4 linked regions of the Ovis aries genome follow. The protein of the gene in region 2 binds, or shares a complex with, the protein of the main gene of each other region. Links are inferred from orthologs where the notes say so. Each region holds a gene or a part of one and is shown on either strand. Other genes may lie near its edges. The genes, in order: SLC7A8, SLC3A2, SLC7A10 and SLC7A11.

The links.
Region 1: the proteins of SLC3A2 (region 2) and SLC7A8 are in contact, whole or in part, in a cryo-EM structure (PDB 7CMI), measured with the Homo sapiens proteins. The link is inferred for Ovis aries from reciprocal best matches to the Homo sapiens genes SLC3A2 and SLC7A8. Residues at the interface, in NP_002385.3 of Homo sapiens: Thr162, Gly163, Leu164, Ser165, Lys166, Glu167, Leu170, Ala173, Gly174, Trp178, Arg182, Leu185, Phe189, Trp190, Trp193, Met196, Leu197, Gly199, Ala200, Ile203, Ile204, Ala207, Arg209, Cys210, Arg211, Leu213, Lys532, Arg534, Asp558, Gln559; in NP_036376.2 of Homo sapiens: Leu147, Leu150, Phe151, Pro152, Thr153, Cys154, Phe155, Pro157, Ser159, Gly160, Leu163, Leu164, Ala166, Ile167, Leu170, Leu171, Trp174, Gln294, Ser352, Met356, Val359, Glu481, Thr484, Leu485, Gln488, Lys489, Met490, Cys491, Val492, Val493.
Region 3: the proteins of SLC3A2 (region 2) and SLC7A10 are in contact, whole or in part, in a cryo-EM structure (PDB 8WNT), measured with the Homo sapiens proteins. The link is inferred for Ovis aries from reciprocal best matches to the Homo sapiens genes SLC3A2 and SLC7A10. Residues at the interface, in NP_002385.3 of Homo sapiens: Phe161, Thr162, Gly163, Leu164, Lys166, Leu169, Leu170, Val172, Ala173, Trp178, Arg182, Leu186, Phe189, Trp190, Trp193, Met196, Leu197, Ala200, Ile203, Ile204, Ala207, Pro208, Arg209, Cys210, Arg211, Glu212, Leu213, Arg534; in NP_062823.1 of Homo sapiens: Leu147, Val150, Phe151, Asn153, Cys154, Pro157, Ala160, Val163, Leu164, Met166, Ala167, Met170, Leu171, Trp174, Ser352, Val359, Glu481, Thr484, His485, Trp486, Gln488, Glu489, Leu490, Phe492, Val493, Val494, Tyr495, Gln497.
Region 4: the proteins of SLC3A2 (region 2) and SLC7A11 are in contact, whole or in part, in a cryo-EM structure (PDB 7P9V), measured with the Homo sapiens proteins. The link is inferred for Ovis aries from reciprocal best matches to the Homo sapiens genes SLC3A2 and SLC7A11. Residues at the interface, in NP_002385.3 of Homo sapiens: Glu167, Leu170, Ala173, Trp178, Thr181, Arg182, Phe189, Trp190, Trp193, Met196, Leu197, Gly199, Ala200, Ile203, Ile204, Ala207, Arg209, Cys210, Glu212, Leu213, Lys299, Arg534, Gln559; in NP_055146.1 of Homo sapiens: Leu151, Phe154, Phe155, Ile156, Gln157, Cys158, Glu159, Pro161, Leu163, Ala164, Leu167, Ile168, Ala170, Val171, Thr174, Val175, Val178, Gln217, Gln219, Val360, His373, Thr487, Gln489, Ile490, Ile491, Glu493, Val494, Val495.

Annotation. Positions count from the first base shown.
Region 1 is NC_056060.1:21,540,951-21,548,327, forward strand, and holds part of SLC7A8 (large neutral amino acids transporter small subunit 2), read left to right. Parts: intron 1-3,089; coding exon 3,090-3,186; intron 3,187-4,984; coding exon 4,985-5,134; intron 5,135-6,878; coding exon 6,879-7,056; intron 7,057-7,377. UniProt on the Homo sapiens protein: Associates with SLC3A2 to form a functional heterodimeric complex that translocates small and large neutral amino acids with broad specificity and a stoichiometry of 1:1.
Region 2 is NC_056074.1:37,692,965-37,701,069, forward strand, and holds the start of SLC3A2 (amino acid transporter heavy chain SLC3A2), read left to right. Parts: upstream 1-3,145; 5' UTR 3,146-3,297; coding exon 3,298-3,424; exon of another isoform or gene 3,425-8,105. UniProt on the Homo sapiens protein: Acts as a chaperone that facilitates biogenesis and trafficking of functional transporters heterodimers to the plasma membrane.
Region 3 is NC_056067.1:43,152,299-43,160,407, reverse strand, and holds the start of SLC7A10 (asc-type amino acid transporter 1), read left to right. Parts: upstream 1-3,354; 5' UTR 3,355-3,464; coding exon 3,465-3,615; intron 3,616-3,878; exon of another isoform or gene 3,879-8,109. UniProt on the Homo sapiens protein: Associates with SLC3A2/4F2hc to form a functional heterodimeric complex that translocates small neutral L- and D-amino acids across the plasma membrane. Preferentially mediates exchange transport, but can also operate via facilitated diffusion.
Region 4 is NC_056070.1:19,472,534-19,479,910, forward strand, and holds part of SLC7A11 (cystine/glutamate transporter), read left to right. Parts: coding exon 1-180; intron 181-3,690; coding exon 3,691-3,817; intron 3,818-7,377. UniProt on the Homo sapiens protein: Heterodimer with SLC3A2, that functions as an antiporter by mediating the exchange of extracellular anionic L-cystine and intracellular L-glutamate across the cellular plasma membrane.

The sequences.
Region 1 (7,377 bases), on a different chromosome or scaffold from region 2:
GCCTGTGCTGCTCATGTGGTGACGCACGACATGTGTGGCTTTACATGTGGTGGCAAGAAGCACCAGCCTTCCCACCTCATGTCCAGAGGAGCAGAGGGCTGAGGAGGCCCGGGCTGTGTGCTTGGCAGCAGGACAGTGTCTTGCCTGCAGCCTCGGAGTCCCTTTTCCACTTGCCTAGAAACAAGCCATGCTGGCTGGAAAGGAACCCCACTCTGAAAGGGACCAGGAGGGACCCATGCCCGGGGCCTCTGGGCTGACCTCCCGTGAAAGTCCTGGGTCCAGACTGCAGGTGAAACTGGCTCATCTCTGAGTGCCCTGAGGGTGCAGGCTCCTCCCTGTTGAACAGACAGGCAGTTGTGGGAGGACCTTTTGTGGCCACCATGAGACTCAGGTAGGGGTGTGAAGTGAGACAACTGGGGAAGAACGAAAGGGAAACATTTGTCCAAAGCCATATCTCTCACCCCAAACTCTCAGGGAAGCCCAAGGTGTGAGTGGACCCAGGAGTCCCCAGCCCCCGCCTCCACACACCCGGACATCTGGCCCCCTCTTTGATGTCCCTTCTTGTTGTCTCCAGAATGGGTGGTTGAGCCCAGCAGATAATGGATGATTTCCATTGCTGTGGCTCAGAGGGTCCTCCCAGGGTTCTTAGGAAACCCCTCCTCCCCCAAGGACATAGTCCTCACAAGCAGTGAGCCCCTGAGTTCAGCTGCTTCCCAAGCCCCCAGTCACAATAGGGCAGAGTTCCCATGAAATGACAAACAAGTGTCATGTTTTCAGGACAGGGAAGGGAAGAGGGCAGGGCAGGGAAGAGGGAGTGTGGGTGTTCCCTGCACCCCAGGACCCTCCAGCACTCACCCACAGCAACCTCGTATGCGTGTTACACAGGAGCAGTGGCCACCTGGAGGCCCCAGCCAAGGGCGAGCGGTGGAAGATCAGTGACCCATGAGGCTCTCTGGGATCTACTGGAGTAGAGTGACTGGCTCCAGTTGCTTTAGAGTGGGGTTTGTCCCTCGGGCAGGCTGAGCAGCGGTCTGCATGCATGTAGTCCGGCTGTGTGTGCATGCAGAGGCGGTGGCCCGGTGCGCTCAGCCTTGGAGTCAGAGGCACAGCTCACCCAGCAGGCCTCCTCAGCTCATCCTTCCAGTTCCTTCCCCCCACCCCTCCTTCTCTCTCTTATTCCTTTGTGTTTGGGGGAAGGGAGAGGATGATTCTTCCTGAGGAGTGGGCGTGTGTATGTGTGTGTCATGCTTAATGTCCTGTCTGCTCCGTGGTTGGCTCGCCGGGCAGCGATTGTCTCTTGTGAACTTGACTTGCCAGTGCTGTTGGACCTGTCAACTCGCTTGGTCCCGGCTGCATGTGGAGGAGAGAGATGAACGTGGGACCCTGGTTATGTGCATGGTGAGGCCCACAGAGTGCCTGGGGCCCTGCTGGGTGCATGAGGCTGCCCTGCAGAGGCGATGCCATGTAGCTGCATGAAACTGAAATGGGCGAGTTTGCTGATGGTGGCAACGATGGTGTGCATATGGGTACTTGGGGCCATAATCAACCCTCACAGTCCTCAGGAGCTACTGCTGATAGCCCCACTCTCTCCCATACCCAAATGACAAAGTGACAGTTCTCTCCAGACCACCCAGCGTGCTGACTCTGTGCCATTCTGTCCCCCCCATCACATCCCCTTCCTCTCACCCCTTAGCTGATCCTTTCCCTCCAAAATCATAGAAAAAAGAAAAAGTGGTCTAATTTCTGCTAATATGTAAATAACTCCTAACAGCTTACAGTATTCTCTTTTTTCTTGGGAGAGGAAAGAGGAAGAAGGGCTGCTCTCTACGTTAAAATTTCTCTCTCTTTTTATCCTGGCTGTGCTGGGTCTTGCTGCATCGAACAGGCTTCTCTAGCTGTGTGTGGGCTGGTTGCCCCACAGCATGTGGGATCTTAATTCCCCAACCAGGGATCAAACCTGTGTTCCCTGCATTGGAAGGCAGATTCTTAACCACTGGACCACCAAGGAACTCCCTAAAATCTCTCTTTTAAAAAATAATTTGTAAACATCAATATCCAAGTCATGATACTATAGTATAGTTTTGTAGTATATTACCAATGGGAGAGTTTTGGGTGAAGTCTACGTAAGGTCACATTGTTTCTTACAGCTGCATATGAGTCTACAAATATCTCAGACAGAAAAATTATCATTATTTTAAACTTAAAAAATAATTTTGGGCGAGTTTCTTGGAAGTTAAGTGGTTAGAACTCCATGCTTTCATTGCCAAGGGCCCAATGTTCAATCTCGGTCAAGGAACTAAGAGCCTATAAACTAGGGTACAGTGCAGAAAAAAAAAAAAAGTTTGAGTTTCTTGTCTATTTTTTTTCAATCTTTTTTATTTTACAATATCTTTGTATGTACTCCTTTTACTAACTGTATGCATTTCTTTAGGATGGTTTTTTGGGATTAGAATAAGTAGCTTAAGGATATAAATTTTCAGGTATAATTTACATACCAGATCGTAAGTGCTCAGACTGATGAATTTTGATGTTTGTAGACAACCGTATAACTACCACCCAAAACACGATGATATAGAACATTTCCACGTATCCCCCCCGCCAAGTTCTCATGTGTCCCTTCCTCATCCAAATCCATTCCCCAACCCCCACAAGGGCAACTACTTCTTGACCAAGATATATGTTTTCATGCACAGTTTATTCCCCATGCCCCAAAGAACCTATATCCTCTGAGGGGGGAGGTACATTTCTTAAGGGATTAAGGCATTAAGCAAAGGAGAGGGGCTACTCCTACAGCTCTCCAAGCTTTGTGAGAGACTCTCAGAGTAACAGCACGTCATCAGGAACCGCAGACCACACTCAAGGTCTCCACAGCCCTGAATCCATCCAAATATCCACTGACTGCCTCTGGTTTGCCTGCACCTGCATTTGTGAACGTGGGTCCTTTGACTAGTGGGCTGGAAGGTGTGCACGAGAAGTACCTGGCTGGAGTGGAGATGCTCCTGTATGGGCAGAGGTGGACATGGAAGAGGGAGCTGGGCTAGGGAGGGAGCCTTGGATGGTCCAGGCTGACCTGCTTTTCTCTCTGCCAGGCTGTTCTTTGCCGGAGCCAGGGAGGGCCACCTTCCCAGCGTGTTGGCCATGATCCACGTGAAGCGCTGTACCCCCATCCCAGCCTTGCTCTTCACAGTAAGGGTCCCTCCCTCTGCCAGCCCTATACACACCCTCCCCCTTTGTGCTATTTTGAACTGGGAGTTCATACTTCCCACATGTGCTGCTATTACCCTTGTCCTCCTAGGTTTCTTGGGGCCTCTGATAATCTAGCAAATGGTATACATGGGCCTGATTAATATCAAGAGATATAGCAAGGAAGGAGCCTAAGTCCTGAAATGCCTTAAGGCTCCCAGGCCGGCTCATCTCATTCTTCCATCCTTTTGAGTCAGACTGAAGGAGCTGCTTCCAGATTCCAGAAGCTCACAAAGAAGCTTTTTTCCTTGGCTCCTCCTGCCCCTGTGACCCGCAGGGTTGCAGCTTTGGGCCTCTGCTCCTGGCTGATCACAGCACACTCCCACCCTTCCCCATCGACCTTCTTGCCGGAGGAGGTTCTGCCAGTCTCTGGGGAAACACCACTGAAATAAATCTGGTGTTCACCAAATCTGGTGTCACACCAAATAAGAAAAATCAGAAGGGAAGACTGGTAAACTGAAAGTGGAGAAAAGAAAACAAGGGGGTTATCTGGTAAATGGAGGCGGAATTAATTACACCAGAGTAGAATCATTTATATAGAGCATACAGAAGGAGAAAGACATCCCCAGTGAGTCTTTGGTTTTTTGTTTTTCCTTCTGGATCCCAACTAAAATATCAAAAATGACTTTGGTCTAACAGAGAAGCAGTTAGATCAGAGAGCAGAACTCTCAAGAGTCAAGGGCATTCACTGTACATTAGGGGAAATTTCAGAACGTTCCGATACAGGAAGAAGGTCGTCTTGATTGGTTAGTGGTGAAAGGCAGCTGGAGAAGGCTCAGTGCTCCCAGTAAGCCACAAGCTTTTTTTTAGTTTGTGCCATTGGTGCAGGCTTATGATGGCAACTCACTCCAGTATTCTTGCCTGGAAAATTCCACGGACAGAGGAACCTGGTAGGTTACAGTCCATGGAGTCGCAAAGAGCGGACGTGACTGAGCGACTTCACTTTCTTTCTTTTCTTTATGACTACAAGGCAACTACAGTAAGAATCTGGCTTTTTCATCCCTTAAATTCTTCTTATTTTCACCATCAGATCTTACAGGAGAACTGAGCCTTCTGTTGGCCTTAACAAATTAGCAGAGGGAAAAGAATATGCTTCTGAGAGATCCCCTGAGATAATTTTGAAGTTGGAAAGTGAACTCTGTCCAGAAAACTTCAGAAGGATATTATGAGGGTTACATGAGTTAATATTTGCAGAATGCTAAAACTAGAGCCTGACACTTAGGAAGTGCTATATAACTGTTTATGACATTAAAAAAAAAAAAAAAGAAAGAAAGAAAAATAAATTAGATGACTCAACCAGGAAAAGAGGATGAGGGCAAGAATGAACCTTAATCTGCAGTTAACAGTCTTCCCTAAGGGATAAAAGACAAAATTAGCTTGAGCTTCAACTAAGGAAGAAATATAAATGAGCCCAGAGTGGCATAGAGCTGCGTGCCACCAGCATTGCCAGTCCAGGTGTATACAGCCAGCATCTGCTCTGAGTGGTTAGTGCCCATGTTGTGCCTGTGGTTAAATGTTTTGATTATCACTCCTGCAGTAAGAAAGAACTTCCTGGTGATGAAGCTGTTAGCAATGACCTGGGTTTCTAGGAGAAGCTATAAAGTCTCCATTTTGAGAGATCCCACTGTGGAATGGCATTGTCTGCCTAGAGGCAGGGGAGCAGCCTGCCACCAGTAAACAGCTTATCTGTGGTCTCCCAGTGCCTTTCTGATTACTGATGAGCTTCTTCCACGCCCCCCAGTGCATCTCCACCCTGCTGATGCTTGTCACCAGCGACATATACACGCTCATCAACTACGTGGGCTTCATCAACTACCTCTTCTATGGCGTCACGGTTGCCGGACAGATAGTTCTTCGCTGGAAGAAGCCGGACATCAATCGCCCCATTAAGGTGCTAGAACCTCCCTGTGGGGCCCCCTCCCCTTCCTCCTCCTCCACTGCTTCTAGCTGAGCTCAGATTCTTTTAAATCACCTTGTTCTCACTGCTGACCAAGCCTCACCATCTCCACGATGGTGGGAGACCCTTTGGGAAGCAAAGGCTGTGTGTAAAGGGGGCAGGCATTTCCATTCTCCATGGGACCAGAGCGAACTGCAGCTAGGGGAATAGGTTCCACGACCTGATAACTTCCATCATGTCACTGTTTCCATCGTGTCATTCCTTTGTTTCCTATGGCTCTAAGTCTTTAAAAAGTCAGCTGACTTTTCCTGGACCTTCTAATCTGACTAGTCTCCGCCTTGTCCCTCCACGTAACTGGCTTTACTCATTCAGTCTTTCCATCTCATCCCAGAATGAATTTCCTTCTCCCATCTCCCTCTCCAAATTTTAACCATTTTCCACCCTCAAGAACCTCTCTTGAAGTTTCCCAGTCCACTTCAGCACTCCATGATCCTCCCTTTTTAGACTACTATAGCTGTAGGATGCCTGGTAAATCTCTTGATTTATAAGAAATAATTTTGTGATAGGAATAAATGGGATTGCTCAGAACAACATATGCTAGAGTGCTATAGGTTCTCCTGCTAATTAGAAGAAGAGGGTATATCCCTGAGCTATTTGAACAATCCTGTTCTGGAAATGAACTTCCCTGGTGGCTCAGGCAGTAAAAAAATCTCCCTGTAATGCGGGAGATCCAGGTTCAATCCCTGGGTCAAGAGGATCCCTTGGAGGAGTGCACATCAACCCACTCCAATATTCTTCCCTGGAGAATCCCGTGGACCAAGGAGCCTGGCGGGCTACCCCATAGTCCATGGGGTCACAAATAGTCAGACACAACTGAGCGACTAACACACGTTCTGGAAACGCAGGGAGACTAGATGCTCTTCACATCTCTGTTTTCCATTGCCACTCTCCTGCCATGCTTAGAAGGTGTGCTAGAGGGAAGAGGAAGCAGAATAATGCCATCTCCTTACCACTTGCGTACCCTCCTAGAGGAGAGGACAAGGAGGAGAAAGGCAGTAAGTCTAGAACCTTGAGGAAGACTATGGGGGACTTCCCACCTGTGGTCAACAAGAGGATGTTGGGCCTGTAAAGTTTGCTCCTTCCTGAAGTAAACAAGGCCCCGGGCTGCCTCATACCACACTAGCTTTCTTGATTTCTTGGGTCTTAGGTTTATCTGCTCAAATGGCTTAAGGTTTATCTTTCAAATTGCTTACAAGAAATTGGAACTGACTCTGGTGAGAGGAGGGACACTTCCCACACCCTGCCAGCTGGGAGAGGGTAGGGGTCTGGTTGACAGGAAGTTTCCTTCTTGCCCTCATTCATTTCTTCTGCTCTCCTTCACCTTCAGCCCTCAGCAGACATAGAGCAATATACCAGCAAGCCCGTCAACCCCCACGGGCTTCTCTGACTGCCGCAGGCATGCAGCTGCATGAAGAAGCCTTGTTAGATCCCTCCTGGGACGACAGTGAGGACTGTCCCCTCCCTAGGCCCCCACACTCCTCTTACTGTCCCACTGCCCACGTTCACCAACATCTCTCGACATAGCACTTGCTCTGTCAAGGCTCAGGGTCGGGGAGCCACAGAGCTGAGTGAAGCCCAGTTTTGCCCTCCAAATGCTTCCCTTTGGGAAGAAGAGGGAAGATGTTCTGATCTTGGGGGCCACAGGGTCCACACAGGTAACAGCAACTCTGATCCACAGGTCAGCCTGCTGTTCCCCATCATCTACTTGCTGTTCTGGGCTTTCCTGCTGCTCTTCAGCCTGTGGTCAGAGCCCGTGGTGTGTGGCATCGGCCTGGCCATCATGGTGACAGGGGTGCCGGTCTACTTCCTGGGTATTTACTGGCAGCACAAGCCCAGGTGTTTCAATAAGTTCATTGGTGAGTTGCTGAACATTATGGGCAGCCGGAGGGCCCCTGGTCTGGAGTCGAGTGGTCATTGGTCTGGCTAGAGAGCCCCACCAGGAGCAGGAGGCTGTCTACAGAGCACTGGAGAAAGGGTCGCCACAGGAAAGGTCTCTGCTCAGAGACCTCCGAGGAGAGGAGAACTCTGGGCATTTCCACGCAGACCTTAGGCCTGCCAGAGTGTGGTCATCCTGGAGAGGCTGCCATGGGCTGGGTGGAGACCCCAGAATTGGTGGTCAGTGAGCCTGGGGCCTTGATGAGGAGGAGCAGCCAGCAAATAGGTGTCCCAGAAATGGA
Region 2 (8,105 bases):
GACAGTTCCCTCTGGAACAAGCTTTCCTCTTCTCCCCCAGCCAGCCCCAGTGGGTTCACCTTTACAGGCTCTGGGACTAGGACAGGAAGTAAGACTTGTGAGGATTTCTTCACTGGGAAATTTTAACTTGACACACCTTGTGTTTAAGTCTACTCACCTCTCAACTTCAGACTAGAGCTGAGCAGATATATGGATGGCTTACTCCTTTCCCCTGCAAAAGATTGGGAACTAAGTCAACTGTCTCCAGGACAGGCCCATCTATAAAAGCTATGTAGGTTTCAATGGACATTTTACAGAATCACCAGCTAGTCCAAAACGTTTCCTGTTGGCTATAAAGCCACTCAATTTCCCACTACAGTCACTTTTTACTCCAAGGGAAACTCACAGCTCAGAAATACCTTTCAGTCATAGTGATCAGACTGGGGCGGTATTGAACTCATCACTGGTGAGTGGCAATGTCACGGGTGGTTCACTAATGGCCAAAGACAAACTTACTTTGGATTTAGCAAGTCATGTCTGCAGTTATTCAGAGCACCAAACAAAAACTGGTGAATTCTATACAGCAGCCATAGATAATAGACTTACCTAAAATCATTCTCAGGCACCAGACAAGGAGCTGTACCTAAAACACAAAGGCAACTAAGTCAGTAATGCTGGCTTCTTGCATTATAAGCTATTACTGTCTAAGCTACCATTCCCAGAAAATCAGATATCCGAGTCTCAACAGCAAATCATCAGCCGAACGAGATTCCATGTAAGTCATCACAGATGCCTAAAAAGGCATTTTCTCCCACTCAATACATTGTATGCACATATGGAGGCCACTCACCTCTGAGCGACGGTAACTGGCAATGTTACCTACAAGAAGGACAAAGCTATGAGTGATACAAATTCCACACACACAGTACCCCACTGTTGTCTTTCCCAGTTTCTCAGATGTTCATGTCTTTTCACTGTTTAAATCATAGTGAGCTAGTTTGATTCATCATAGAAACTGCCTACTTGGTGGTGTATGCCATACACACATTAATCAACTAACCTTTTAACTCTGGAGGCTTTCCAGAAGTGTGTATAGTAACAAGCTGCTCCTGAATGAGAAAATCATGTAATTAGCAAAATATCTAAAACAACCAAAACTATTCTAACTAGGGTTAATGGATAACCCAAGCCAAGCAAATGCTGTTCATTTGCTGTACCTCAGACAATTCCTCATGGAATGAAATTTCATCCTTTCTCCCAGTTCGCCCCAGTGGGTTCACCATTACTGGCTCTGGGGCTAGAACAGGGGTAAGACAGGACGCCTGCTTTCTTCATTGGCACTGGAGTTAAGCAACAACAAGCAAGGTTACAAGTACTCACCTCTGGACTCTTTGTAGGAGTCATCCTGAGCAGATGAAGAGGCATCTAGGAAATCAATAAAGATAAAATAAAAGATCAAGAAACAGCATTATCAGAAACAAGAGAAATCCCTCTATTTCCCACAATACTGAGAGAAGTAACTTACTGTAAGACAGATGACTCTATTAATGCTGTGACAATCTACAAAAGGGGAGAAAATGGTTACTCCAAAATACTAAGACGAAATAAAATTTCTTCATTAACAGAAACTGCCATCAGAACTCTAACATGCTATTAACTGTGGTACCTCACAGAGGATCAGCATTATCAATTCAAATCATCTGACAGTGAGTGATGTGTGGGTGAGGGAAGAGCACACCCTCACAAAACTATGCTGCTTGCTGGGCTGCCGACTCCCTCCCCAGGAAAATCATTCCAAGAGGAACAAGTTGGAAGGAGCAAAAACACTGCTCCACTGACCATTTGCTCTCGGGGTTGTTGAAACCACCACAGACCACAAACTTCCCATTTGAAAACTTACCTGCATTCACTCTGGGAGGCAGTTGAATTCCTCAAGACTGGTGAGGAGATGCTGGAAACAGAAAAATGAGCCATTATTTTTTAGTACTCGAGAACTACCATTAAAAGACCCTGGAGCATTCCAGGCCCACTTCTCAGTAGTAAGATGACATCATTTTTGAGTTCAGGCATATGCTTGTCATTTTACATTCATCATGGAGTGGCCAGTGCAATTTCAACCAGCAAGTCCCATCCCGACATTGTGCTTCTACCCCCCCATCTGCATAAAGCATCGGGTACCCACCTGCAGCATCACCACACTTGATCCACAGAGGGTTAAGTCTTGTCTCATCCTCCAATCTGTAAGCTCCTTTGAATTAAACCACATCTGGGAGAAAAAAACAATACCCTTTCTTACTTTTATATCTCGTAGTTTGACTGTCCCACGTTAGTGCCTTAACGCAGGGCTAAAAGCCCAAACGTCTGCTACGGATGGTGCTACTCAGAGTTTTTGTTTTCTCCACTAATCCATCAGAAAGAGAGAGTTCAATTTTTGAAATCATCCCCGTAGCACATCCCGTCGGACTCCCGCATATTCAGCAAGGAAGAAAAAAAGGACAGTAAAGGGAGGCCAGGAGCACTTACTCCAATGAGACCGGTTTGAGATCCTTCAGCGTTTGGCGCGCGTCCGAACCCTGCAAACAAATGATATTGGGTCAGCACTGTCTGGTAAACGCTTTGTTTCCCGGAGCTAAGACTGCGTTGCCATGCAAGGCCGGCCTCCTCAGAGTTTCTTATCCTCACAGAGTTCAGTACAGGTCTGTGAAAAGGGTCTCATCACAGAGAGGCCTGTCGGCACGGCCGGCCATCGCCATCTTGTCCTTCACAAAGCCCCCGTCCCTTCAAGGCCTCAACACTAAGGTCACGTTTTCTCTCCTCCCCCACGAACCCAATAGGTACCACAAAGAGAGGCCAAGGCCCGGACACGTTTGCACGGGCGTTTTCCTCGTAAACCTCAACAAACCAAATCACTTACCAAGAGCTGTGGATAAATGAGACTGAGAGGCTACCGCGAGACACATAAATACTATCTCGCAAAGGCCCACGGGATTTGGGGGCGGGACTACGGCGGGCGCAAGCGCAGAGGGAAATGGGTGGATTGTGGGTAGAGATTTCTAGAGGAAGTACGAGAGGCTGTGCGCCTCCTGAAGCGGTGGCGCGAAAAAGGTGCGCATGCGTCTTAGGGTGTGCGCAGGCGCGACTAATGTGGTGCCGTGGGTTCTTTACTGCGACTTCTTTTGGCGCCCAGGCGGCGAGTTACCTGCTTCGCGCAGATCCTGGACTGACGCTCCGTGTCGGTCACAGCTGACTGACCCACACCCTTCCCTGAGCATTCCCTTGCTTGCACACACTCTAGATCCGCGTGCAGAGTCCTAATCCATGGACCACGAGCCTCATGAACCCTCCGCTGGCGTCATCTCGGTTCCAAGCCAGCCGCCCAGCGAGCCTTCTGGGCCTGGTCCTCAGGGGCTTGGTCCTCAGGGGCCCAGCGCGGGGGGCGACTCAGGTATTACTGGGCCCCGGGCCGATCTCGAGTGGAGGGCTCTTGCATGGAACCGTTTTGGGAAAGTGAATCAGGTTGTAGGTGCTCTTGAAATATTATAACAGTTTTAGGATATTTTCTGTAACCGGCCACCTTTGTCTTACTGTCTGGTCCGATTTTGCTCGGAGCTTGTAGTGGGGCTAGCGTTAGCCGACATTTAAAACGCCGTTTTAAGGACATTGTGTGTGTGTGTGTGTGTGTGTGTGCGCTCAGTCGTGTTTGACTGCGATCCCATGGACTGTAGCCGGCCAGGCTCCTCTGTCCATGGAATTTTCCAGGCAAGAATACTGGAGGCCATTTCCTACTCCAGGGGCTCCTCCCTACTCCAAGAGATCTTCCCAACCCTGGGATCGAACTCGCATCTCCTTCCTCTTCTGCCTTGGCAGGAGTCGTCTACCAACTTCGCCACCTGGGAAGCCCCTTAATGCAGATTACCTGGAGGGAATCTAGGTGTAAAAAGCTTTTGCAGAGCCGCGTACAACTCCCGCCTGACAGGCAGGGTGGTTCCAGTCATCTATACCCTTGTTACTGAGGACAACCAGTTGTAGTTTAATCATTTGTAATGCATACCTAGGGTACATGACCGTTTTAAAAATGTACTATATGTACATTTTATAACCATTTATTAAGCTCTTACTGTGTGGTCTCCTGGATGATCTCATTTACTACTGCAACCCTAGGAGGAGGCCATAAGGTAATGTTAGGGATGAGGAGCCTGAGATCTGGAGGGGTTAATTAACTTGCTCAGAGTTACCCAGCTAAGAAATATCAGCCCAGGTGCAAATCAGCCCAGGCAGTCTTGATGACAGAACCTGCACTTTTGATCACTATCACTTCTCTGGGTATTTAGGGGGCAAACAAGTACACAGGAAACAAATGGCATGATCCTTGGATACTGTTTCTCAATTTTTTTTCTTGTTGTCTTCCTCTCTCCAGGAGCCTTTAAAACTAAAAAGCATTTCCCCCTCTAACTTAATATAACTGTGTAGGGCTTCCCTTGTAGTTCAGTCCGTAAAGAATCTGCCTGCAGTGCAGGAGACCCGGGTTCGATCCCTGAGTTGGGAAGATCCCCTGGAGAAGGAAATGGCAACCCACTCCAATATCCTTGCCTGGAAAATCTCATGGACACAGGAGCCTGGTGGGCTGTAGTCCATGGGGTCGCGAAGAGTTGGGCATGACTGAGCAACTAACACATATAACTGTGTATTTGCTTATATACTGCGGCCCTTTAGAGGGCCAGAAAGCTTCTGTGTAATATCTAGGATTTTCTGCCCTCTTCCTGCTCCAAAAGAACCAATTTTCACTACTTTGGTGGCAGTGTTGTCCCCATGCATGTCCCAGCGAAACAAAAGTGACAAAACAAATACCAAAAGAATCCCAATTTGAAAAATGTTATTATAGCTAGACTAAATTCATGTATTCAACAATGTTAGATGCTTGTCCAAGTGGGTGATTGAAAAGTTGTAACAAAATGTATAGAAAATGAAACAGATAAGGAAAATTCAGAAGGTCCAGAGTAGGCAAGGAGGTTGTTTGTGGGCATGGTATTTGGAGAATGTTTGTGGGCCTTAAAGGGTAGATAAGCAGATCCAGGAAGGAAATTCAAATTAGAGAAATAATCTGAGTGACAAGATTGGAGCTGGAAAAGTGTATAAATATAGTTCATGAAAGATGGGTTGAAGGGGAATCATAGAATATAAAGTTGGAAAAGATTTCCTAGGGAAGGCCAAATGAGAAGGGCTTGAAATACAAAGCTAAATAATTTGAACTATAGGTAGAATAACCTATAAACCAGGACTTAACTTGGTGGTCCCGTTAAGACTGGTTATGACTCTGCCTCCACTGCATGGAGCATGGATTTGATTCCTGCTTGGGAAGCTAAGATCCCGCACACTACACAGAGCAAGGTGGGGAAAAAGGGGTAAGTTGAGACAGGACATTAATTAGATTGTCACAGTAATTTAGGCAACAGATAAGTGGATTCAAGCATGATGAAAGGGAAATAGGAATGATTTATAATACATCAGAAGTCCTCAACTCACACCTGCAGGAATGTAAGTAATGCAGGTAAGCCATAGGAGCCTGATAGGGATCTTGATATGCTTGTCTTTGCTCCTGCTGAGTGTGCCTTGCCAGAATATTGTCTGAAAAATTTGATCAGGAGAATCCAGAAAACCAAAATTGTTGATTAATTTGCTCCTTAAAAATGTTGGCATGTTACTTAAAATTTTTAAGCATTTTCTCTGAGCCAATCAGAATATGCCTGTATACCCAAGGTGGCCCATGAGTGAGTTTGCATCAACTTCTGTAGTAATAGAGAATCCACTTTAGAAAGAGGGAATGTTAAAGATTGGATATTTTTTTTGGAAGTTGTTAACAGGTTGAGTGACTTAAACATCAAAACGGAAAAAAAAAGCCAGTATTCTTGGCAGTTGGAGATCATGGCCATGACCTTCACTTAATGTTTATTTTACCAATACTATTTATCTGTTGAGCATCTACTGGGTACCGGAGATACAACAAGGAACAAAGCAGCCAGTCCCCTTATGCTCCCTTGGAGCTTATATTCTGGAAGAAAACACAGAAACAGACGAATAATACGTCAAGTGGAGTTAAATGCTGTGGTGAAAATTCGACTTTGCTGGTGATACAATGGTTAAGACTCTGAGCTTTCACCACAGGGGGCACGGTTTTGATCCCTGGTCGATCCATGCAGGATGGCCACACACAAAACTGAATGAAATGTGTGTGTGTGCATGTGTAAATATATTTGCAAAAATATATATATATATATATATATTTGCAAAAGTGGTACAAAAAGGTTAGACTGTTACATAAAGGGAAATGAGAAAAATGAGATGAAAGAATTGGTGGAGGTGTTTTAATGTTAACCTGTATGAAGTGCTTTCTACGGCACTTTCCTGGCACTGTACTGAATGCTTTGCACATGTTACCTCAATTTGAAAAATAGTTTTTGTGGTTACCATCCTCATTTTACAAATAAGAAAACTGAATTTTATATCAAGTTACTTACTCAAGGACACATAACTAGTGTGGCAGAGCTGTTATTCAAATCTAGTCTCTACTTTTGACCCTGTTAAAAATGATCCAAAACTTGGAAATAGGCAAAAGTTATTACCAGGTGTCCTTTTGATAAAGGTAAAGCAGGCCTACCTAACTTGGGGATTACCTGGTTTTCCAGTGGGGCGTGTGCCTTCGTTTGATGTCCTTTTTATTGTTGCTCTAGGTATTTTGTAATTTGATAAGATTGCCTTCTAAGACGGAGAAGGAAATGGCAACCCACTCCAGTATTCTTGCCTGGAGAATCCCAGGGACAGGGGAGCCTGGTGGGCTGCCGTCTATGGGATCGCACAGAGTCGGACATAACTGAAGCAACTTAGCAGCAGCAGCAGCCTTCTAAGACATTGGCTGGTTTTGTATCTATCTATTAGAAGGCAAATTCATATCATTCTTATCTGGACTTTAAGCTGATGATCCTCCTTTCCCAGCATTCTCTTTTGAACCAGTTTTAAATTTTATGTATTCCCTTGTTAACTAATAGGTTGAATAAAATCTTTGATGTGTTTATATAATTATGAGTCATATTTTCAGTTTTTAAGATTATACTTTAACAACTCCTGGGGTACATTGCCTTTTGTTGGCCCATTTATTTATTCATTCAGAAAATATTTGTTGAGAGTCAGGATTTAAACTCAAGAAGTCTGACTCTGGAAGGAGCTTTAGACAATATGCCAGTGGAAGTCTAATACCATGCCACCCTCTGGCTAACATCTTATCTTGCTCTTTCCAGCAAATGTCTTTTACTTTAAAGATCTGTCTATACCTGCATCACCTGGATGTCTGTTAGAAATACTGAATCTCAGATCTTTCCACAGATCAAATGCGCTTGCATTTATTCAAGATCCCCAGGTGGTCTGTATGCACACTAAAGTTTAAGAGCACTGGATTTATACAATACTGCTCACTTCTTTCTCAGGACACTCTTCTCTCATCCTACTTGATCTCTCAATAGCACCTTTTTATCCTGTTCACCCAGTTCCTTTTTTTAAAATCTGGTTTTTCTATGCCATCACAGAAACACATGGTAACACCCTTTGACCTACCATGTCCAGTGACCCCATTTCCTGTTTCTTAAAACACTGTTTCCACAGTGCTTGGGACGCTGCCCTCTTCTAGTGTTCCTCTTATGTTTTTGCTATTAATAACTTCTTCATGATCCTTTGAGGTATATCTTCTGTCCCATTGTTCAAACATTAATGTTCCTCCAGTTACATGTTGTTCAGCCACTAAGTTGTGTCCGACCCTTTGGGACCCCATGGACTGCAGCATGCCAGGCTTCTCTGTCCTCCACTATTCTCCTGGAGTTTGCTCAGATTCATGTCCATTGACTCAGTGATGCTAACCATCTTATCCTCTGTCATCCCCTTCTCCTTTTGCCTTCAATGTTTCCTAGCGGCAGGGTCTTTTCTGGTGAGTTGGCTCTTTGTATCACATGGCCAAAGTATTGGAGCTTCAGCAACAGTCCTTCCAATGACTATTCAAGGTTGATTTCATTTAGGATTGACTGGTTTGATCTCCTTGCAGGCCAAGGGACTTGAAGAGTCTTCTCCAGCATCACAATTGG
Region 3 (8,109 bases), on a different chromosome or scaffold from region 2:
CCATGGACTTGGTTTTAGGGTATAGTGTCAGGCAGAGATGAAGGGTTTTTTTTGTTTGTTTTCCAATACGGACACTTCATTGATTCAGCACCATTTTATGAAAAGTCCGTCCCATTTCTCTCCCCTGCTCTGTGATGTCAACTTTGTGGTAACAAAACAGGAGTCCAAAAATGAATGAGTCTGTTTCTCATTTTCTATTCTGCTCCTAGTTGATTTGTTTATCCTTGCACCTGTCTTCCTAACTGCAGTGTAAGTCCTCCAGCTTTGTTCTTCTTCATCTATGTTTTAAAATCAGCCACTTTGCTAAACTACCTGATTAACCTTGAGTCATAAACATAAATGTTTTGTATAATATAAGTGTTTTTGGATTTTCTATCCAACAGTGTTACATATAAATGACAGTCGTATGTTTTCCTTTCCTATCTTCATACCTTTTTTATTCTCTTCAGGTTGGCTTCTTTCACTTAATAACATGCATTTAAGTTTTCTCCATGTTTCTTCATGGCTGATAGTGCATTTCTTTTTAGTGCTAAGTATTATTCTCTTAAGGGATTCCCTGGTGGTTCAGACAGGAAAGAATCTACCTACAGTACAGGAGATTTGGGTTTGATCCCTGGGTTGGGAAGATTCCTTGGAGAAGGGCATGGAAACCCACTCCAGTATTCTTGCCTGGAGAATCCTATTGACATAGGAGCCTGGTGGGCTACAGTCCATGGGGTCGCAAAGAGTCAGACACGACTGAGTGACTAAGCACAGCACACATTATTCTATCATCTAAACTGTAGATGTGCCATTCACCTACTGAAGGACATCTAGATTACTTCCAGGTTTTGACAATTCTGAATAAAGCTGCTATAAACATCCATCTGAAGATTTTTGTGTGGACGTGAGTTTTCAACTCCTTTGGGTAAATACCAAGGAGCACGATTGCTGAGTTGTATGATAAGAGTATGTTAGTTTTTAAGAAAATTGCCAAACTATCTTCCAAAGTGGCTGTACCATTTTGCATCCCCACCAGCAACCAGTAAGAGTTACTGTAGCTATACATCCTCGACAGCATTTGGTGTTGTCAGTATTTCAGATTTTAGTCATTAAAAGGTTGTGTCTTATCACTTCTTTTTCTTGCCTTATTGCACTGGGAGGACCACCCTCCCAGTACTGTATAGAAAAGAGTGCTAACTAACATTCCTTCTCATCTCCAGTCTCAGTGGGAAAGCAATCATTTCGCCATTGAGCACGAAGTTACTGAATGGGTTTTGTTTGTTGTTTCCTGTATTTTGGAGGGTTTGGTAAGATACCTTTATCAAACTGAGAAATCTCCTTACTGTTTCTAATTTGCTAACAGGTTTTTTGGTTTGTTTAAATCGTGGAAGACTGTTTTCTGAATCTTTTGAGAACACCCTATGATTTTATTTTTTCCTCCTGTTAATGTGGGGCCTTATATACCTCTTGTCATTTGGATGGTAAACCAATCTTGCCAACTTTTTTTCCCATCAGGGTTTGCAAGTTCAGGTGTATTCCACTAAAATGACCTCCTGAACTGTGGCCCTGGAAAACAAAATGCAAATTCCATTCTGCGCAGTGCCCTAGGGTCAACCCCCCTCCACCTCCTGAAACACCGACTCCACATTTCAAGGACCATGAGAGGCTCACCTTGGAAAACCACAGGCCCCTGGCCCGTGAGGCTCATGCCAACCCTGGAGGGACCCTCTCCCAACAGACTTTATCGTTGCAAGGCTAGCTGGGTGCGGAGAGTCGAACAGGTCAGACCCCAGCCCCCATCACGCGCGACAATTAAAAAGTCCCCAGAGCTCGCGCCGCTTGCCCTCACCCCACCGCCCGCGCGAGGCTCCTTTAAGAGAGTCCGCGCTGAACGCGTCTCTGGGGCGGGAGGCTGAGGGCGCCAAGAATGCGGGACTCCGACGGGAGCGCGAGGGCTGCAGCGCCGCCGGGCGGCCTCCCCCTCCGCGTCCCGCCAGGGTCGTCCCACGCCTACTCCCAGGTCCCCACCCCCGGCTCCGAAGGTCCCCCTCGCCTGCAACGCCGGTGCGCCGCCACGCCGGCAGCCCGACGCTCCGCGCGCAGCCCAGCTCGGGGCCAGACCCCGCCCCACCCCCGTCCGCCCGTCGGAGGCCGCGGGCGGGGGGAACGCGGGTCGCCCGGCGCGGCTCATCCGCATTCAGGGGACAGCGCGTCGCGGCGGCCGCCAGGAAGGGACAAAGGCTGTTCCGCCGCCGGCCGCACCGTGCCAGACTCTCCCCTCCCGCCGCCCTGGTGGCTCCCGACGCGGCCCCCCTCGTGTCTGCTCCGCCGGGCCGGGCTGCGCAGTCCTGACGGCTTCCGGGAGGAGGAGGCAGCGGCAACCGCCCTTGGACTCTGCACACCCGACCCCCGCCTGTGACCCCAGAGGCCAGGGCCCCCTTCTCCGCGTCTCCGGGGCAGTTGAGCTGGCCTCGTCTCCTGGTGCTGGCTGGACTGCGCGGGGCCTTCGCCAGAGACCCGAGTTCTGGTGCACCGAGCCCGAATTCTCACCTGTGGATAGAACCTGCCAGGCTCAGCGCAGAGCCGGGCTGGGCGGAGAGCGAGGGAAGGTGGGGTTTTGAGCCCAAGCCCTCCCAGGCCCCCCACGAGGCACTGGGTCCCCTCTGGATGGCCGTTGAGGGCTCCAAAGTCTTCACCCCGACCCCGTCTCCCCAGACTTTTGATGGCGTGGGCTTAGGGTCTCCTGACCCCTTCGAGGGGATCCCGGACACAACCTATACCCCTTGGAGAACTGTAGCTCCTACACCCTCCACCCAGCGTCTGTCAGGAGGCCAAGGCGGCATGGGAAAGGGTTTGCACCTGGCGCAAGCCACTCGGTCAGCTCCCTTTTCTGTCCCGGGAGCTCAGCGTCCACCCGGAGAATGGGCCCAACCTCCATCCCTCTCCTGGCACTCGCGCTCTAGGAACCCGTGCCAGGATGTAAGGGGTCCGGCAGCGCTGGCGCACAGGGGATCTCAGCACACAGACGGCTATGATGGTGGCCAGCTTCCTTCAGTCTCCTTGAGGGCAGGGACAGTCCTGCCTTTGAGCCCTGCTCCCCTACCCCCACCCCAGGAATGGCTGTAACTCAGGCAGCGGGAAGACCCACTTCTTAAGCCTTCTTGGGTCTGGGAAGTTCTTCCTAAGTCTGCCCCAAGTCCTCTCCTTCTTTCCAGGCCCGGGATGGGACGGGGAGAGCCACGGGGAGGGGGGGAGAGTTCCCTTTAAGGAAGGTGGGGGAGGGGGCTGCCGGCCGGTCTTCCTTCCGCCCCTCCCCGGCCCCCGCCGCCGGGGCTCAGGGCCCGGGCCCCGCGCCCGCGCATGCGCCCGCCTGTGGGCGCTGTCCCGGCTGCGAGGGCGGCGCGCACCGATAGCCGGACGGACAGGCGGCCGGTCGGACCGACGGGGCAGCGCGGGGAGCGGGGACGCGGCGGGACAGCGACATGGCCGGCCACACGCAGCAGCCGAGCGGGCGCGGGAACCCGGGCCCTGCGCCCTCGCCCTCCCCCGGCCGGGGTCCCGGCCCGGGCACCTCGGAGCGGGTGGCGCTCAAGAAGGAGATCGGGCTGGTGAGCGCCTGTACCATCATCATCGGTGAGTGGGACCGGGGCGGGCGGGTGCCTGGGGCGGTGAGGCCTGAGGCGGACAGCGGCTTGGGACAAGGAGCACCCCTCTCCGGGTGCGCCTAGCGGTCCGCGACGGTGGACCATGGATGAAGGATGCACGCCCGCGGCACATGCGGCGTCTCCCTTCACACCCCAGCCGCAGAGTTCCCAAGTGGCCCGAACTTCAGCGCTCTAACGAGGTGCAGGTCCCATCCACCGCTGGAATCCTCCTGCCACCCTTATTTCTTTAAACTTCTGCAGGGCAGTTTCTCTCAGTCTTATCATCTCTAACATGTGGTCCTGCCTTGAGTGCAGGAGCCTTGCCAAGTGAGCGGACACTGTAAGCTGGCCTCCTGCTAAGGCCCCCCCAGTTCTGGGTCTTGTCGCTCCAGCAGAGTTCCTACCGTGTGCAGGGTCCAGGTGCCAGAGCGTGTGAAGGATTTATTCTTCCAAAGCAGGAGGGACTGTGGGTAGCCTGGACAGGTAGAAACAGCCCAGAGTGGAAATGGGTTCAGAGAATGTAATTAGTGCCAAGATTTGCAGCTGGACCCTGGCGCAGGGGGGCGGATCAGCAGTGATGGGGTGGCTGAGTTGGGGTGGGCAGATCCCACCTGCAGAGAGGCTTCCTGGGCTGGGACCCCACTCGCATCCTCTCTGGCCCAGCTTCCCCACCTGAGAATGAGTGCATACATCCTGCCCACATATGGGGACTTCTGGGTGGGCAGAGGGCTCAGGGCCCAGTGAAAACAGTGGTGGGATTTTCTTCCTGCTGTCCCAAGTCATGAACACGGACACCTCAGGAACTGGCTAACCCAGACCTGTGTTCACACAAGGTGCCCCAGACACCCTTGTGGGAGGAGTCTGTTCCACCTCCAGTGTCCCAGGAGACACGGGCTGGAAGGATGAATGGAGTGGATTTCGACTGCTTTCCCTTTATCACCTGCTCATGCTTCCCATCCCCAGTCAGTGGGAGCTGCTTGTTCATCTCGGATCCCTGGAGATGGAAAAAGCTGGGGGCTCAGGAGGACAGTCTGGGGTCTTCACTTCCTCCTCCGCTGCCCGCCCCCGCCCCCGCACTGGAGCTCCTGGGCCAAGTCTGGGGTCTAGCTCTTGGTCAACCCCCACACTCACACTGAGAGTTGCCCCAGGACACAGCCCCTGTGCAGGTAGGTACCCCTCTGTCTCACCCCCTCGCACCTGGAAAGGTATCTTCTAGGGGCTGATCCTGATCTGGTCTGGAGCCCTTCTTGACCTCGAGTGCCCCTGTCCGTCTGCTGAGAGGACAGGCTCCTTCCAGGGATTCAGTCAGAGTACTGGCTAGAGATTTGCCCTGACCCACACCCTCTCCAGGAGCTGTGCCCCCAGCAAGAGGAAGCCAACACATCGTGGGTGGACCAGGGAGTCCAGAGGCTGACCAGCTACGGTGCCCAGAAGGGACAGAGAGAGACGTGATTCTTCCTGGGCTGCCTCAGCTAAACCCAGAATCCTCAAGCATAGACCTACTCTGCCTTCTCCCCGTGTCCCATCCCCACTCCCCTGAGTCAGGCAGAGGCTGCTGGCTCATCTCGCCTCCTGAGAGGGCCCTGGTGGTGATGGTAGGAGCAGATGAGGCTAACTCAGCAGGAGTTTTTCTGTGCAGCACGGGTCTGCCCTCCCAGCTTCCCCACCTCTCATGCCATTTTTGCTGTTCAGGGCCACTGTTCCCTTGGCCTCAGACCTTGAAGACTGAGCTGGGCTTTAGGAGTGACTTAGCCAAGGGTGGCAGACTCAAAAACAGAGCCCAGATGATCTGACCGCAGCCCAGGACACTCAGGGGTGGTCCTATAACCCTACTTGGGGAGTTTTGAAGGGTTTCAGCAGGTGGGAGGCTAGCCTGGGCAGAAAACAGACAAGGGGAGAATGGACCTGTTTCAGAAGGTGACAGACGAGGCAGGTGTGGGCTGAATCACTGCACCACCATCTCCCTCCTGACACCCTGAAGGTCCCCTCTTCACTGTTCCAGGGGCCACATCTCCCACGTCTTATCTCACGTTCCTGCTCTGGGGAGCCTGGTCAGAGTAAAAAATATCTTCAGAGAGTCCTATTTTAGCCTAAAAAGTCTTGAGAACTTTATGGCCTTCTTCATAATCTTTCTTGTTTGTTAGCAGCTACTCTTCTTATCTCCAAAACTTCCAAATATTCTCCCAGAAGAACCTATAATTCCCCTTGCAGCCCCTACCTCAGGCTGAGTAGGGCTTTGGGCTGGAAAAAGACTCCACCTAAAACGTGCTTAGGACCACTGAAGCAAGCACAGCTGGAGGGGAATAGGGAACCAGCCTGGAGGAAAAAGAGTCCTCTGGGGCCGGAGCTGTGCAAGACATCACTACATCCATCTATTCAGAAAACCACGCCTGGCTACATTATGAAAACACGGTCTCCCTTTATCTCACGTGATTGCCCACCTTGCAAGATGGGAATTTTCATACCACTTTATAGATAGAGAAACTGCTGTTGAAAGTTAAATGATCCTGCTGCAAGGGGTGGACTTGCTATTTGGAACCAGAATTGGACTCCTCTCCCAGTCCAGCGTGCTTCTTCGCACTGCTGTGGTGCAGGGCAAAATCAGAGCCAGATTCAGAGCCCATGATAGGGGAAGGTTGAGGATTAAGCTGGGAGCTCATCCAACCAAGATTTACTGAACTCCTCACTCTACTATAAATAGACAAACAGGTGGACAGAGAAATCTCCTGTGACTCCTCACCCCCACCCAAGGCTGTATGTACAGGATCCCTTGTCCTGACTCAGGGACCGCAAACAGCTACCTCCCCAATTCATGCCCAAGGAGGGACTGTGCCCAGGTTCAGCAGAGTGAGAACCACCTGGGTCTGCTGACCAGGCTGTCCTGGCCTCCACTGTCTCCCTTTGACCCAAATATCTGGCCTGTGTTTGTGGATCAGGCTCAAGTGTGTTCTGGGGCTCTGGGGTCTCCTTTCTGAACCCCATCTCCTTAGGAGCCAGTACCTATGCATCCAGCTGTGGCCAGGTCCCTCCATTGTCTCCAGGGCTGGAGATTCTGGGCTGCTCAGAATAGCCCTCTTCAGAACCCTCGCCCACCAGCCTGTCTTTGCTTCACCATAGCCCCAATTTGCAGATGAGAGAAGTAGGGACCTGAGGCCCAGGGTCAGATGCTTTTGGTGTGCTCTGGAACACCCTTGGGGGCTGAGGCAGCTCCAGCCACAAGGGTGGGGCTGGCCAGCACCGGTCATGTTCATGCATCTATTCAACAGTTAGGTACCAAACAGTGCAGGGCCCTGTTCTAGATGCTGGAGGCACAACAGGGAACAGGACAGACAAACCCCTATCCTCCTGGAGCTGACGTTCCAGCGTGAGAAGTCGAAGAGCAAACAAGATAAGCCAGCTGAGTGTTTAGCTGACGGGGTCATGATTACATGCTAAGGTGAGAAGATGATAGAGAGAGGTTTATAGATAGGAGATGAGTCAGGCATGGGATGGGGTCCAGTCTTTGTGGGTCTTGCAGCCATAGTAAGGACCTTGCCTCTTTTTCTTTGTCAGATGGGAGCCCGAGGAGGGCTTTGAGCAGAAGAGGGATGGCGTGGGGTGGAGTAGGACGGAATAGAACAGGATGGCATGGCATGACGTGGCCTGGGGCTTACTCTGGGGGAGAGGCTGCGGGCAACAGGGGCTGAAGCCGGAAGCCCAGTCAGGAGTCACCGGGGTAAGAGATAATAGTGGCAGAGAGCAGGGTGATGTTAATGGAGGTGCTGAGAGGAGGTTCAGTCCTGGACATGTCTGGAAGATTGAGCCAAAGGACTTGTGATGAACTGGATGAAGGATATGGCCGAGTAGAGTCTAGGTGATAGCGGATTGGAGCCTGAGCAGCTGGGGGCCTGGTTTGCCATTCATTGATCTGGGAAGACTGTGAGATGAGTAGGTCCAGGGAAGAGAGTCATGTCCTTCTGCTCATCACCCTTTCAAAAGGAAAGTGGGTCAGTCTGGTGGTACACACTGGCTGATTGGAAATTTCAGGCATGTCTTGGAAATGTCCCCGCTCACCTCCCTGGAGTTTTGCCACGACTTCAGCGGGCACCTGTGTCCCCCAGAGGGGTGCCTGACACGTGCTCACCACCAGGACACTGGGAGGCAGAGGCTTCACCCAGAGCAATAGCAAGGCCCCCAAAGCGGGGCTCTGGCTGCTGACCCCAGGGTGTTGAGGTCCCCAGGGGCTCAGGTCTCCATAGGCCAGCCTGGGTGGCTGGGTGTCTCCAAAGTAGACAGCAATTAGGACTACCCATAAACACTTCCCAGGACCTCTGAGGTAGCAGACGGGATGAGTACGGAACCACATCACTCCCCCATCTCCCCATCTTACAGATGAGAAGGTTCAGAGAGTGGAGCAGTTGTCCACAGCCCCCCACCACAAGGGACCTAGGGTTTGAATTCAGATTTAGGGGTTCTCAACTAGTCGTTGGCCCTGCCCATGGTC
Region 4 (7,377 bases), on a different chromosome or scaffold from region 2:
CTGGGCAGGAGAAAGTTGTGCTGAAGAAGAAAATCACTCTGTTGAGAGGAATCTCCATCATCATTGGCACCATCATCGGAGCAGGAATCTTCATCTCTCCTAAGGGCGTGCTCCAGAACACAGGCAGCGTGGGCTTGTCCCTGGTGGTCTGGTCGGTCTGTGGGGTTCTGTCACTGTTTGGTGAGTGTTCCTGCTTCTCTGGGGGTGTGTCTGTGGGGTTGAGCACTGTGCTGTCTGGGAGAGCAGAGGGAGATTTCAAAGGAGTGAATGAATGGCAAAGGCTACCCCAGATTTTCTGATTTTTAGGGGAGGTATGCAAACTATCTAAGCACACTGTCCACTGTTGGCAGAATGCTGAGTTCCCTGAAATTGCATCCTAAGTCTATGCTCTCTTTTCCTGACCAAGGCGCTCTGTGTTCTGACTTTTCGCTTTGGCATTGAATGTTGATGCTAACTTTGATGACCCAGTAAAATACAGGTGAACTTTCTGTACCCGGCACTTGTGCTCAGTGAAGGTATGTTTGGGGTGTCTTGGCAGCTGGCAAGCTGAATGAAACACCTGTGAAGTGAAACCCAGTGTGGCCTGTTTAGACACAGAACTGAGTGCTCAGCAGAAGTTTTACTGACTTTTTATTGGCAAAACAAATGGATGGCAGTCTTTTCCCTTTTAATTTTTTTAACTTCATGAGCTTGTCAGTTCCTAGTCTTCTTTCAAAAGTCCTTGAACGTGGATCGAAGTGTGATGGCACATAATTCAGCTCCTTTTGTAACGGATTATTGCAAGGGTGTGAGCATTTTTCACATTTTTTTGTACTTTTCATCTCTCCCCAGTACCCATAACTGTTTGCAATAGAAATTGTAGAATTGGAATTGGGTATTATTGCTGTTTGCCCAGCTCTGTTTTCTTCGTTTACAGTTCACTTGGTCTTTGGAGACACAGGTTATTGGTCCACCTATCTGCAGAGTTAGTCTCAAGAGAATTGGTAAAACTGGTGGAAGAAATGTGATTATTAACTTTTTTTCAAAACCTAGATCTCTTTTATTGACGTGATAATTAATAATAAAGAGGTAATAAATGTCCCCTCATGAGGTGGGCATATGACTGGAATGCTTCTTGGGTTAGCTGTAAAGGTGTTAAAAACTGGTGAATGGTCAAGAAAATTAAATTGTATTTATACTATGGGGCAAATGTCTAAGATATATTTGCTCTTCTCTGGCAGATAGTGCTTTTTTATTCCAAAAGATACTGCTCTTTAAAGGTTTTAACTCTTTGTCCTAACTCTCTAGGACCAAGTACTACTAACTCTTGGTCCTACATGGACTAACCTGTTTATTCTGAAGGTCTTGGCAATGTTTTCATGCATTGGTTTGAACATTTATCTAGAGAACTCAAATTTTCATGATTAGGAAGAAAGTATTTTAAACAAAACTTGTTGAAATAAAAACTTAATATAGAAATATCAACAGAGGAATTATATTTAGGTGTTTACAAAGGGTTTATGGTATTCATATTTTGTGGCATATACATTTATAGACAAAGAGAAACCTAATTATTGATCTTCTTAAATGATTTTGTGTGCCCTCAGCCTTTAATCTTCTCCAACACTTGGTATATTCAGAATAAATCATTGTCTAATAGGAGAAACCATAGCCAGGTTCCTGGATTTTGTATCCTGTGTGCATGCAGCTCCCACTATGTGATTCCATTTTTGTATACTATAAAAGGCTCTTCAGATATGATAAAATGGGTGGCTCTGAGCATTAACTAGTTAAAGTGATGTTGACTTGTACTAAGAAAATATGCTTCTGCATAAGTGTGTCATCTCAAGTGATTAAAAATAAACTAATGAGACTAGCTAAGTTTACACTTGAGTTGGTATTCTTTGATTACTAATCACAGGGAATATGCTTCTATACTAATCTATTTATCGATGTTTGCATTACATTGGTCACTTGAGCTCCTAGGAACTTTTGACAGGAGTGCCTTCCTAACAGAAAGCAAAGCAAAATATAAGGGAAAAAATTCGTTGTCTTAAAACTCTGGAACTAAGAGTATAGAATGTGTATATTGTGTTTACAATTTTGTTTAAAGCCAGGTTTAATACATGGGTTCTTACATCCTATTTTGAACTGTTTTCATCTGACTAATATGGTTATGGAGCTTGAGACCTTCAAATGAAAATTTCACTTTCCCAGAACTCAATTTAAACCTGGGGCAACCATCCTGGAATTTAACCAAAGAATACACAAGTCTAGGTATTGAGTCTCTGGAGATAAATTCTGAGGTTCTTAAGACATTTTCCAATAACATTTAATATTGGATGATTTTTTGTACACTCTACCAACATGGCAACTGGTTTCCAATAGAGAATGAACTGCAGGTAGTTATAGTTAGTTTTAAATGGCCAAACTGTATCGGTGATTCCCAACTATCCATCTGTAGACTAAGTTACTTTAGAATTAGCTGTGCTAATTTTAAAATTATAGATTTTCTTTGATGCCTCTGTCAAAGAGTCTGGCTTCTCTTGATCAAAGAGGAGGTCTGGGGGATGGCCTTAGTGCTTGTATTTTTTATTTTAATTAAAAAATTATTCCCAGGTGATTCTGATAGAGTTCTAGTTTGGAAATAGGATAAGCAACATTAAGATTTTGCTGAATATCCAAATTACGTTTATGTTGGACAGTTCTACCTGAAGCTCTATTGATTAGTAATAATTTCTCACGCTTTTAGTCTCCAGAGTAGCTCAGGCAGAAATTATGTCTTACATTTGAGTACTTAACAGTATGGGTAGAACTTTTCACACAATGTCAAGATATACTTTTCATTATATATACAATAACTTGCTCACAGTAGTAGGTGAAGCTGTATTTCATGAGGTGCTTTCTGTGTGTCAGGCCTGTTACTGTCCTTGGCATTCATTTTCATACTTATACACACAATCCCCTTATGAGGTGAGAATTAAAATCTTTATTTCTCAGAGGATGAAACTGAGGTTTGGAGAGATTACATAATCTGCTCAAGTCTTTGTGAATTTTATTGCTAAATGTTAAAAATTGGTTCATAATTAATTTTATCTCCATGTTCATAAATATGTTAAAGCATCTCTTTTTCAAAACTTTTATTTCAGTCACCCAGGAATGATACTCTGAAATACATCCATAAGAAACTTTCTCAAAAAGAGAATATCTGAGTCAAATTAATTTTGTTGATAAACAAAACATACCCTATAAATTAAATGAAGCCTTCCAAAACCTTGAGTCCATACTTTTGAGGAGAAGAGAGGAATTTTATTTATTTTGATATGTCACAAAAACATCATTTATTAAAAGGATGCTCAATATAATGAGGTCAATTTGATATAATTCTTTGTCTTGATGTGAAATTATGTTCTTCAAAAATGGATTGTGGATTCAAAATTTTTAATAATATTATATTGTTTTAGAAGTTTGTCTTTACCATTTCAGGTAAAATTACCTTGAACAGAATGAACGAGATTTCAAGCATGAGGAAGTTACAAGAGGACTTTGGAGGTTCTTAGGAATTTGATTAGTATTGTTTATTTTGAAAAAGGGTGTCATTCAAACCAAAGGAAGTAGTATCATCTCATGAAATACTGCTGTGTCCATTCTACTGCTGGATGACTTGGTAATATTTTAACTTTGTGCCTTTTTATCTTAATTATTTCACAGGAGCCTTGTCCTATGCTGAACTGGGAACTAGTATAAAGAAATCTGGTGGTCATTACACGTATATTCTAGAAGTCTTTGGCCCATTACCAGCTTTTGTGCGAGTCTGGGTAGAACTACTCATTATACGGTAAGAGCCTAGACAGAAAAAAGATTAAGGAAAAATAAACCTATTCATTATCCCATTTTTGAATCACTTTGATTATTTTTAAATAATTAGAAATATGCATGACTATGTGGTAAATATGTCTCCTTCAGGACATAAAATCTGGGATGAAATACCTTTCTCAATTGATGTTTTTAGTGCCATTTTGCCACTGGCAGTAGTTTTCTAACCATGCCAAACTTTCAAAGCATCTGCTTGTTGTTAACATTCAACTATTCTCTAAGTCATTTTCAGGAAAGATGCTGACCTAAAAGAATGTGAATTGTCAAAATCTACCATGATAAATCAGACCTTTTGTTTGATTATAAATTGTAATTTGACAAAATTAAATGTTCTCCTAGGAACTGGGGTTTTCCTTCTTGTAGATCACACCATTAAGCCATCTTCAGTTTACTCAGTTTTCGTGACTAGGAAACTTCTGCTCCTAGCAACTTAGTATGTCATCAAGTTTTATATTCCACCAAAACAAAACAAAACAAAACAAAACAAACACACACACTTGTCACAATGACTCATATCCTCACGTTAAACAAATCAGTGAACTACAGTTGCGAAAAGCTTTTTGATTATATTGTTGTAAGAATGCATTCCCCTTCCTGATTGCCGTGGTTTAAAATCAAACCAAATAATGCTAAGTCACTCTGAATAGCAAATTTCCTCCAATTTTGTGGGAAACTTATGATGTCACGTGAGAACTTCAGATTATCCTTAAAGCAAACTGCTTCCATGAAATGTGACTAGCACATTCTGACAGCAGAATTTAACAGAAATAATTAAAGAAACTTGTTCTTACTGTAAACTTATCAGACTTACACAGCTGAAAGCTCCTGTGAGCTCTTATCCTATCATTTAGAGCTAAGTGGTAAATGCAGAGCTAATAAGTATTGACTTAACACTAATCTTGTTTTTTATAGTCCTAGGAGTCTCTTTTGTAGCAAAGAGCTTAGAATAGTATTTACATCTTTGTTAAGTCTGTTCTCATTTTAAGCAATTTTGCATTATTTAAAACTTATTATTATGAAATAATGATAAAGAAGTATTTTGTTCTTTTTCTAAACTCTGGGATTTGCCTGGGAGGTGCCTTCCACTCTTTTCTGATAATATGAAGATTACTCTTCAAAGGTCAACTTAAGTTCTATCTTTTCCACAGTTAATTTCCTGTTCACCCTAGTTTATAGTATTTCTTTCCTCTCTTAATTCTTCTGAAAAAAAAAAAATGCAGTCTCTGCTTCTCATTTGACATTGAACATGTTGGCTTATATTCTTACTGAATATTTTAGGAATCTATGCTCTGTTTCCCTGTTAAAACTGCAAGCATTTCAAGCATACAAAACCAGGTCTCTCGCTTTTTGTAACTCTTATACTACTTATTGTCATATATTAAATGCAACTAATTGTCATATATTAAATTCTTTTTGAATAGCAGTTGAAAAATTTAGTAAATATTCAATCTTTCAGTAAGTTATATTGGGTTGGCCAAAATGTTCATTCAGGTTTTTCCATTAAGATGGCATGAAAAATCCCTAACAGATTTTTTTTGCCAACCCTAATAGTTTGAATAAAATATACTCAGTAGTTAAATAAGTACAATACTTATTTAGAGTGGTGGCCTGTCAGAATAGTGGGCTTTGGGGCCTGATACAGCTGAGCTGGAGTCCCTCTCCAGCCATGTACTGGCTAATTGTGTTGGTTAGCCATACTTTGGTTAACTGCTCAGCGTTATGATGGTCTTGATCATTCCATTTGCACTAGTAGCACCAACACAGTGCTCATTCATTCATCTGCTCATTCCACAGACTATGCTACTGAATGGTGTATGGCAAGTTAAAAAGATCTAAAGTGAAGTGAGCCTCAGTTCTTATTCTCAAGTAGCTTATAATCGTATTACCTTAGACAGCTACTTCACTGGGTATGTGTTTATGGAAGCAATTACCTATATATTTTCTAGCTTTTGTAATGGATTCGTATGTTTCTTTGTAATAAGGACTCACATTACTCAGTTATTCTCTCAGAGTAATGAAAGACTTGAGGGGTGACAAAGTACCTGAGTAATATAACATTCCTCTTCCATTGAAAGTACCCATGGTACCTAAATATTTGCTATTAAAATTGTACTTCAGATTAAGTCCCTTTTGTCAGAAATAATCTGTAACAAATCTTAAAAAGAAATCATACATCGGGGTCATTTGAATTCATGCATTCACCATGCATTCATTAGTTTTCTGTTGTGTGACAGACAATTTACTAGACGCTTTACCACACACTGAGGATGAAATAGTGATTGATAAGCACACAGTCATACTCATGAAGCTCACGGTCAAGTGAGGGAAACAATTATCAATCAAGACATCGTGTAAGAGAATGAAAAGTTGCTACTGTGATACACATGTGAAAGGGGGGCTATGAAGTTCCACAAGAGAGAATACTCTGGGAGATCTAACGCAATTAGAGGACTGAAGAAGCTTCCTCGGGAAAAAGATTGAACTAAGACCTGAGGTATAAGAAACTGTCAGTGAGTTTCAGGGGTTCTAGGCAAAGGGCATCCATATCCTTCTAGTGGGAGAAAGCACACGGAAGAGGAAGGGAAAGTTTTGACCAGATGGAGCCTTGTATTGAAGGATTTTTGTGGATTCTGACTGTGTTTTGAAAGCACTAAAATGACATTATTAGATTTTAATTTACACATCAGAAATTTATAAATGATGGATAATTAGAAAAATGTCTTGTTGTGGTCAGGAGGAGATTGTCTTGGAAAAAAAAATCAAGAAATCTCACTACTGCACATCCACACTGAAGATATCATAATTGAAAAAGACACAGGCACCCCAGTATTTATCACAGCACTGTTTACGATAGCCAGGGTATGGAAGCAACCTAGAGGTCCATTGACAGGTGAATGGGTAAAGAAGATGTGGTGCATATATGCGATGGAACGTTGCTCAGCTGTAAAACAACACATGTGAGTCAGTGCTAGTGAGGTGGATGAACCTAGAGCCTGCTATACACAGTGAAGTCAGAAAGAGAAAAACAAATATCGTCTATTCACGCATATGAATGGAATCTAGGAAGATGGTACTGATAAATCTATTTGCAGGGTAGCAGTGGAGATGCAGACCTAAAGAACAGACTTATGGACATGGGGGAGGAGGAGAGTGGGGTGATTTGAGAGAGTAGCCTTGAAACATATTCATTACCACAGATAAAATAGATAGCCAGTGGGAATTTTCTATATGATGCAAGGAGGTCAAATCTGGTACTCTGTATCAACCTAGGGGAGTTGGGATTGGGTGGGAGCTGGGAGGGAGGTTCAAGAAGAAGGGGACAAAAAAAAAAAAAGAAGAAGGGGACATATGTATGCCTATTGATGCATGGCAGAAACCAATACAATATTGTAAAGCGGTTATCCTCCAATTAAAAATAAATAAATCTATCTTGGTTTCTAATACCAGCAGGTTAGGGTTGGAATACATAATAGTGGTTGGTTTCCTGACAATCTAGGTGTTAGACCTGGAGGTTGAGTAACC